Linked DNA regions of Sus scrofa. The protein of the gene in region 1 purifies or fractionates together with the protein of each later gene. This does not show direct contact. Links are inferred from orthologs where the notes say so. Each region holds a gene or a part of one and is shown on either strand. Other genes may lie near its edges.

What was found.
Region 2: the proteins of FAM120A (region 1) and RBM45 purify together in Homo sapiens (co-immunoprecipitation; 3 studies listed by BioGRID and IntAct, with this or other methods). This does not show direct contact. The link is inferred for Sus scrofa from reciprocal best matches to the Homo sapiens genes FAM120A and RBM45.

The regions. Positions count from the first base shown.
Region 1 is NC_010445.4:42,860,496-42,864,409, reverse strand, and holds the start of FAM120A (constitutive coactivator of PPAR-gamma-like protein 1), read right to left. Parts: upstream 2,817-3,914; 5' UTR 2,753-2,816; coding exon 2,279-2,752; intron 1-2,278. UniProt on the Homo sapiens protein: Component of the oxidative stress-induced survival signaling. May regulate the activation of SRC family protein kinases. May act as a scaffolding protein enabling SRC family protein kinases to phosphorylate and activate PI3-kinase.
Region 2 is NC_010457.5:83,799,349-83,803,162, forward strand, and holds part of RBM45 (RNA-binding protein 45), read left to right. Parts: intron 1-967; coding exon 968-1,094; intron 1,095-3,814. UniProt on the Homo sapiens protein: RNA-binding protein with binding specificity for poly(C). May play an important role in neural development.

The DNA.
Region 1 (3,914 bases):
TTCCAAAAAGGTGAGCTGCCAGGTAAGTGTCCACCAGGGAATTGAGTCCTTGCTATATTAAAGTGTACAACTGTACTACATTGTAATTCTACATCAGAAGTTAAAAGCCTATCTGAAGCAAAATAATTGTAGACAAAATTACCTTGAATTCAGAAACCTAAGTGGAAGATCTGGTCAAAATTCTGAGCACTTAGTAGGTAAAAGTGAGCAGTGAGCAGAGGCACAAATATCAAGAAATTTTACAATCTAATTTTACAATGAAAAAAGAATTCAGGGAGTTCCCGTCGTGGCTCAGTGGTTGACAAATCCAACTAGGAACGATGAGGTTGCGGGTTTGATCCCTGGCATTGTTCAGTGGGTTGGGGATCCGGCGTTGCTGTGAGCTGTGGTGTAGGTTGCAGACGTGGCTTGGATCCCGCGTTGCTGTGGCTCTGGCATCGGCCGGCGGCTACAGCTCAGGTTAGATCCCTAGCCTGGGAACCTCCATATGCCGAGGGAGCAGCCCTAGGAAAGATTAAAAAAAAAAAAAAAAAAAAGAATTCAGCCATCCTTTCAACAGATACAGCGACCATGTATACACACTGAATCTAATCCTAAGTAATATTTCAGGTGTTCTTCTGAAAGCCACGTTACTAGACAGCTCGTAGTCTTTTCAATAGTAATTTCCATCTCTGGACAACTGTTAACCCTCTTAAGGTATCATCTGAAGGTGGACCACACCTGGGAATCAGTACTGTTTTACTTTCCAGGGAGCACAGGCTCCAGGGCAGAGCAGCGGCAGTCCCCGGCTCTCACCCGAACTTCCCCAGGGACGCAGGCTAGGTCTCTGCCACACTCACAGGCCAATCCACGCTCTCGCAGCAGCCTCAACCGGCAGACTTAGCAGCCCTGTCACCAATTGCAACAGGAGGCGGGTGGGACTTCCGCTATCACTTTAGGCTTAACCCCCACCATCTCAGCACAGGCAGAGCAGTCAGGAAGTTCGAATTTCACAAACTTTGGGATCAGGCACAGTTTCAAGCAGAAATAAAGGAAGGACAAACACATTGGAAGGCAGAGTGGCAGCAGTCAGAAAACCAAAACAGCCCCCCCCAAAATTTTTAAAAGAACCACTGTGGAAAAGGAAGCAATCGAAACTCAAGTCAAGGGTCATTGATTTGCATGTAATCTCTGCCATCACTGCTGGGTCCTGAAGCACTCCTTGGCCTGAGTTCAGGGAGGAGCCTTCTGCCAAATGGACAGCAGAGTGCTGGACAGTCGAAGCTCTGATTACCTGAGTGCACAGCCCAAAGTGGCAGACTCTTCACTGTGCAGAGAAATAAATCCTGGAAACTCTGATTCACATTCTCTTCGCCCTGACTTTTAAGCTACTCGTTTCACATCACATACACAGAACCAAAGACTTTTTCACGCAGACTCTCAGTACAGAACTAACAGAATTCCATGTCAAACTTTATGGCTCTTTGAAATCTAATGCACACAAAAACCAATTTCTCGAAAAACTACCATCTTACAGGGAACCTGGACCCAGGCCTGAGTTCTCAAGAAGAGACCAATTCCTCAGGCCTTGCCCAGGTCACTGCCCCCAGCTGAGCCGGAGTGACCGCAGTAGGCAGAACTTCAATCCACCCTCAATGGATGGAGACCCCTTCCTGTTGCCAGCCAGCCCACCTGCTCCCACAAAAAAACCTGTTGCTGTTCAAGTCTTGCGAAATTCGAAAACGAATGTCTCATGAAAGTTGACGTTAGGAGCTTTAAAGAGTGGAGGAATACGCGGGATCTCAGCAAGGGCGGCACTGTGCCCTCCGAGCTTGCAGCTACCGCCTGGGGCAACCCAGGCCCCCAGATCCCGGGCACTCGCAGCCGCCGGCCGGACTCCAGGCCGCGCGTCCATTTTGCAGCAGGTCCGTCAGACAGACCAGGAGGGGAGAGGAACCTGCGGTCCCCGGGGCCCAGACCCCCACCGGGGCCCCGGCCCCAGCCCGGCTCCAACTTCAGCTCCTGGCCCGCAGAGACCCCAGATCCCAACCCCGGCCCAAACGCAGATTCCAGACTCGGACTCGGCCCCGGGCTCCAGACTCAGACCCAGGCCCGGACCCCAGACCACCCGCCCACTCCAGACTCCAGTCCAACTCTGACCGCGGACTCCAGATCCCGGCCCACCCTGACCCTGAATTGAAGCGACCCCGGCCGGCCCGGGCTTCCAACCCTGCCCCTGGCCGGCCCGTCGGCCCCTACCGACCCCGGCCAGCCCGCCCGCCCTCTCAGCGGGCCGCACCTTGACGTGGAAGCGGATGAGCGCCAGGCGGATGCAGTGCGCCATGCAGACGGGTGGCAGGAACCAGACCTTGGGCGGCGGGGTGCCCTTGTTCTGGACATGGCTGACGATCTGCTGCGCCGTCTGGCGCTCGTTGCCCTGCCGCTTGACCCATTCGTGCAGCCGCGCCTTCTCGAGCGCGCCGTTGAAGAAGACGAAGAGCTCGATGTTGCCGCCGAAGCAGGCCTTGGCTAGCGCGGCCAGGTAGCCGAGCATGTGGTTCCACTGGCCGCCGCTCACCCAGTCGGTGTAGAAGCCGCCGTAGAGGCGGTGCAGGCAGTTGTCGGCGTCCACCAGCAGGCGCAGCGGCGTGTGCGGGGGCCGCTGCCGCCCGCCGCCCACCAGGCTGCCCCGGGCCAGCTTCTGCAGCTCCACCGGCACCACGGCGCTCGGGCAGTGCTTCTCGATGTAGTCCTGGAAGCCCTGCACGCCCATGGCGGCGGCGGCGGCGGGCGCGGGGCGGCGGGGCGGCGGGGCCGGGGGCGGCGGGGCCGTGGCGCGAGCCGGGGCCGGGGCCGGGGGCGGGCTCTAGGGGGGGCCGGGCCGGGCCGCGGGCGCGCTCATGGCCGCTGCGGCCGCCATGTGCTGCCGCCTCCCAGGGCCATGGCGGGGAGGGACCTGCGCCGTGCGCCGCTCCAGGCCCAGGCCAGGCGGAGGCGGCCTCGCGCGGGCGGCGGCGGCGGCAGCGGCGGGGCGGGGCGGGGCGGGGCGGCGACGGCTGACGTCCGCGGGCCGGCGGAAGAGGCGGTGCCGCGGGGCGGGGCGGGCAGCCGGAGCCTGAGACCCCTACCCACACGATCCCCGGCCCGCGGGAGGGGCGCCCGGCCCAGGCGGTGCGCGGGGTCTGCGCGAGCTTCCGGGAGGCCTCGGGGCGGCGGCCTCACCTCCTCCGCTTTATGACCCCTAGAGCTGTCACCGGGGAAGCCTCCTCGCATCCCTGGGGTACGGTCACCCCAGACGGTCTTGTCCGCGGAAGCCAGTCGGACAATCCCTTTCCCGGCCCCGCTGCGAACCGCTCACCCCGAGGAGGCCACGTTGTGTCCTCGGGATCCGATCACCCTGAAGAGTTCTCATCCTGAAAGCTGGTCGCCTCGAGGAGGAGGCCCGGCCCGTCGCCGATGGCCATAAGAAAGCCCCATTGTCATCCCCTGCGCCGGTCATTCCAAGGAGGCCCTCTCGCGCCCCCGTGGACTGGTCACCCAGAGAAGGCCCCTTCCCGTCTCCAGGAGTCAGTCACCTGAGGAATCCGCGTCCATCCCCAGGAGCTGGTCACCCCGAGGAGACCTCAGCCTGACCTTGGGGTATCATCCCCTCAAGGAAGCCACATCCAGTCCCTTGAGAGACGGTCACCAGAGGAGGTCTCATCCCTGGGGTGTGGCCACCCCAAGAGTCTCGTCCTGGTCCCAGGGGCAGTCACCCAAAGGTGGGACCGGTGCCCTGGCGGAGGTGGCTGCAGACTGAAGAGTAGGCAGGCAGTAGACGTCGGGGTGCATCTGGGAGGGAGGATGGTGAGCAGAAGCCATTTGTCCCAAATGGAGAAAGGAACTAGACTGTGTGCTGGGTGTAGTCACCAAGTTTTAGAAATGATCTCCTGCTC
Region 2 (3,814 bases), on another chromosome or scaffold:
AACACTAAGGATTTATATCCCATATTGTTTCCAGCATTAAAAATAAACATTTGGAGTTCTCTTGACGCACAGCAAAGTAAGGATCCAGCATTGTCACTGCAGTGGCTCCAGTCACTGCTATGGCTCTAGTTCAGCCCCTGGCCTAAGAACTTCCACATGCCATGAGCACAAGAAAAAAAAAAAAAGTAAACATTCACCACATAGAGTATTAACTTTGTGAGTAAAACAATGTGTTTCATTTCAAAGATATGCTTTGAGAGGTACTCCTTCAAAAGAAAACACAGTCATTTATGTTCCTGTGAGAAGGCAGATGAATAACAATAGCTAATACTTACTGTGTGGTATGTACCAGTCCCTGTATATACACTTTAGGTGTCTTTGTTCTTTTAACCCTTAAAACAACCCTATGAGGTGGTACAGCTGTTAGCCCCATTTAACAGAAGAGGACATAAGACACAGAGAGGATAAGTCAACTGCCCAGTTTAATAAGTGGCTGAACCAAGATTTGAACAAAGAAGGTTCAGTTCCAGAGCCTCTGCTCTTAACTACCACTAGGCAAGATTTTGGAGCTTTCCAGACCATGTGCAAATTCTTACTCGCCCTTCATGATTTTGATAAGTTATTTGATTTCTCTAAGGCCCAGTTACCTTATCTGTGAAATAAGCAGTATAATATATGTACATCCTTGAAGAACTGTGAGAACAATAAGGTGATATATGTAAAGCAAATGCTCAGTAAATCAAAAATAGCGTTTTGGTTATGTTATTATTTGATTTTATCATTATTATGGTTATTTTCTAGTGCCTCATTTAGTTTGTGACATTTTTATTGCATTATTAAAAATAGCTGTAAATGCTGATCTCTTTTGGCAAGCAAAAAGAACAAGTAAACAAATTTTAACCTAGTTCTGAATCTGTTCAGTTATTAATTTTGACTTCTCTAAGATTATTTCTTTTAACTCTCATAGGTGTATGGAGATATCGAGTACTGCAGCATTATTAAGAATAAAGTAACTGGAGAAAGTAAAGGCTTGGGCTACGTTCGATACTTAAAACCATCACAAGCTGCCCAAGCAATAGAAAACTGTGATCGAAGTAAGGATGTATTCACTTATCATTGTTATAGACATTTGAAAAAAATTCTAATTATTCTAATAATCTAATACTGGTTTGTGCTTGTATCCCTACCTGCTAACTTAATCTTAGCAATAAGATTTAAAATACATATAGTTGTAGGATGAAAATTATTTGGGGGCCATGATTAAGTTTCCATTGGTTATTATTTCTACAGTTTTGGGGGGTTAATTAAATTATTTTAGAATTTTAAGTATTAAAAATTCTTTAATACTTAAGGTTGGATTGGGTTTTTTAAATTTATTCTCTATATTTTTAAGAAATTCAAGTATTTTGTAATATTTGTTCATGTTTGACCTAAACTCTAAATAGAACTGTGTACTAATAGACATATAAATAATAGGGATAGGGTTTAAGATTTACTAGCTTTGAGAAAAAAACATACATCAGGTTAATTTCAAGCTCAAGTGACATTAATCAGACCTTCTGCCATTGCTGTTATACGTTCTGAAGAATAAGATTTTTTTTTTTTTCTTTTTAGGGCTGCACCTGCAGCATATGGAGGTTCCCAGGCTAGGGGTCGAATTGGAGCTGCAGCTGCCAGCCTATGCCATAGCCATAGCCACAGCCACAGCGACGTGGGATCTGAGCTGCATCTGCAAACCACACCACAGCTCACGGACAATGCCAGATCCTTAACCCACTGAGCAAAGCCAGGGATTGAACCTGCATCTTCATGGATCTAGTTGGGTTTGTTAACCACTGAGCCACGAAGGGAACTCCTGAATAAGAATTTTAAAGAGGCCAAGGAAAATATTCTTTGTCATACTTCTAGTTATATTGACCTTTAGAAATGAGATGTAGAATAATTCAACTAGTGGGTTTCAGGATAGTATAAAAATTTATAAATATGGAAATAATTATTGTTAATTAGAACTGTTAGATAACCCTAAGAGACATATCAAAATTTTCTCTCAGATCCTTCTAAATTTTTCAATTAGCCAGCATTAATTGAATACCTATGGTATACTCATGAATATAAGTAGAGAGATACAAATGGCATATATAGCAACTCTGGCATTTAAGGAATATACAATTATGTTGGATAGTCACGATCTAATAATCAAAAAGTAGTTAAAGGGTAATAGAAGGGTTTTTTAAAAGCTTTTTGGTTTTTGCTTTGTTTTGTTTGTTTTGGTTGGGCCCACAGCATGTGGAAGTTCCTGAGCCAAGGATCGAATCCGTGCCACAGCAGTGACCCAAGCTGCTGCAGTGACTACACCATATCCTTAACCCGCTGCATTACAGGGGAACTCCTAAAGCTCTTTGAACTCCTAAAGCTCTGTCATGCCAGGTACCTAGTACTGTTATTAGTAATACTCAGTATAGTACTTGGGTCCTCAATTAAGGTTTATTGAGCTCTCTAGCAAAGATACTGCCATTTACAGAAGACTCAATAAAACTGACAAATGAAAAAATGTTCAAAAATGTGTGAGACAGGTGAATTCATGCTGTGGCTCAGTGGGTTAAGAATCCGACTGCAGCAACTTGGTTTGCTGAGGAAGTGAGGGTTCCATCCCTGGCCAGCAGTGGGTTAGAGGATCTAGCATTGCCACAGCTGCTATGTAAGTGGGCAGCTGCGGCTCAGATTCATGCCCTGGCCCAGGAACGTCCATATGCCACAGGTGTAGCCATTAAAAAAATTAAATTAAAAAAAAGTGTGAGATGGCCTATCAGTGGTGAAAAAAAAGTGCACTGAATGAAATGGGAATACATTAGGAGGTAGGGTTCGCATCTGGCATAGAATAGGCAGGACAAGATAAGAGCAGTGAAGACCGAGCTAGAAATAAAGATCTTTGCTTAATAGAGTGAAGGCAACAATCTGAGTAAAGCTTGGTATTCCTGTTTGAAAATTATAAGACAAAGTAAACTAGGTACTTTGAAACCATATATGGGAGATCATAAAGAGTTCAAGCTTAGTCCATGTTAGAATTTCCCTTGTATATTGTTTTATAAGGAGAAAAATAACAAAAACTGCTTTAGGACAGTTAATCTAACCACTGTACCAAGGATGCATTTCCAAAGAAAGAATTAAAAGAACGTGGTTTTATCCTTTTTGGAGCTACTGAATAATATAAAAGCTATGAACCTTCTCTTTTGAAATACGCCCATGTGCACATATGTATAAGCTTTTTTTTTTTTTTTTTTTTGTCTTTTTGCCTTTTCTAGAGCTGCTTCCCGCGGCATTTGGAGGTTCCCAGGCTAGGAGTCTAATCAGAGCTGTAGCCACCGGCCCGCGCCAGAGCCACAGCAGCGCAGGATCTGAGCCACATCTGTGGGCTACACAGCTCACAGCAACGCCAGATCCTTAACCCACTGAGCAAGGCCAGGGATCAAACCCAAAACCTCATGGTTCCTAGTCAGATTCGTTAACCACTGCGCCACGACGGGAACTCCTGTATAAGCCTTTTCTTTAAAGTTAGAGGATTCGTGGAACCCCTTCCCACCTTTTTGAAGTTCATTCTTGGACCCCCAGTTAAAACTCATGATCCAGAAGCAAAGAGATCAGTTGAAGGGTTGTTGTAATTAACTGAGAGAATCTAGTTTTAAAATGGAGGCAGAGAAGTTGGAGTGAAAGATAAATTTTCTAAGTATATTTCAAAGGAAGACTCTTTGGTGACAGGTGGTTCTGAAGAAGCACTGTTGGATTTTGATGTTGAGAATGGATGATGATGTCAACT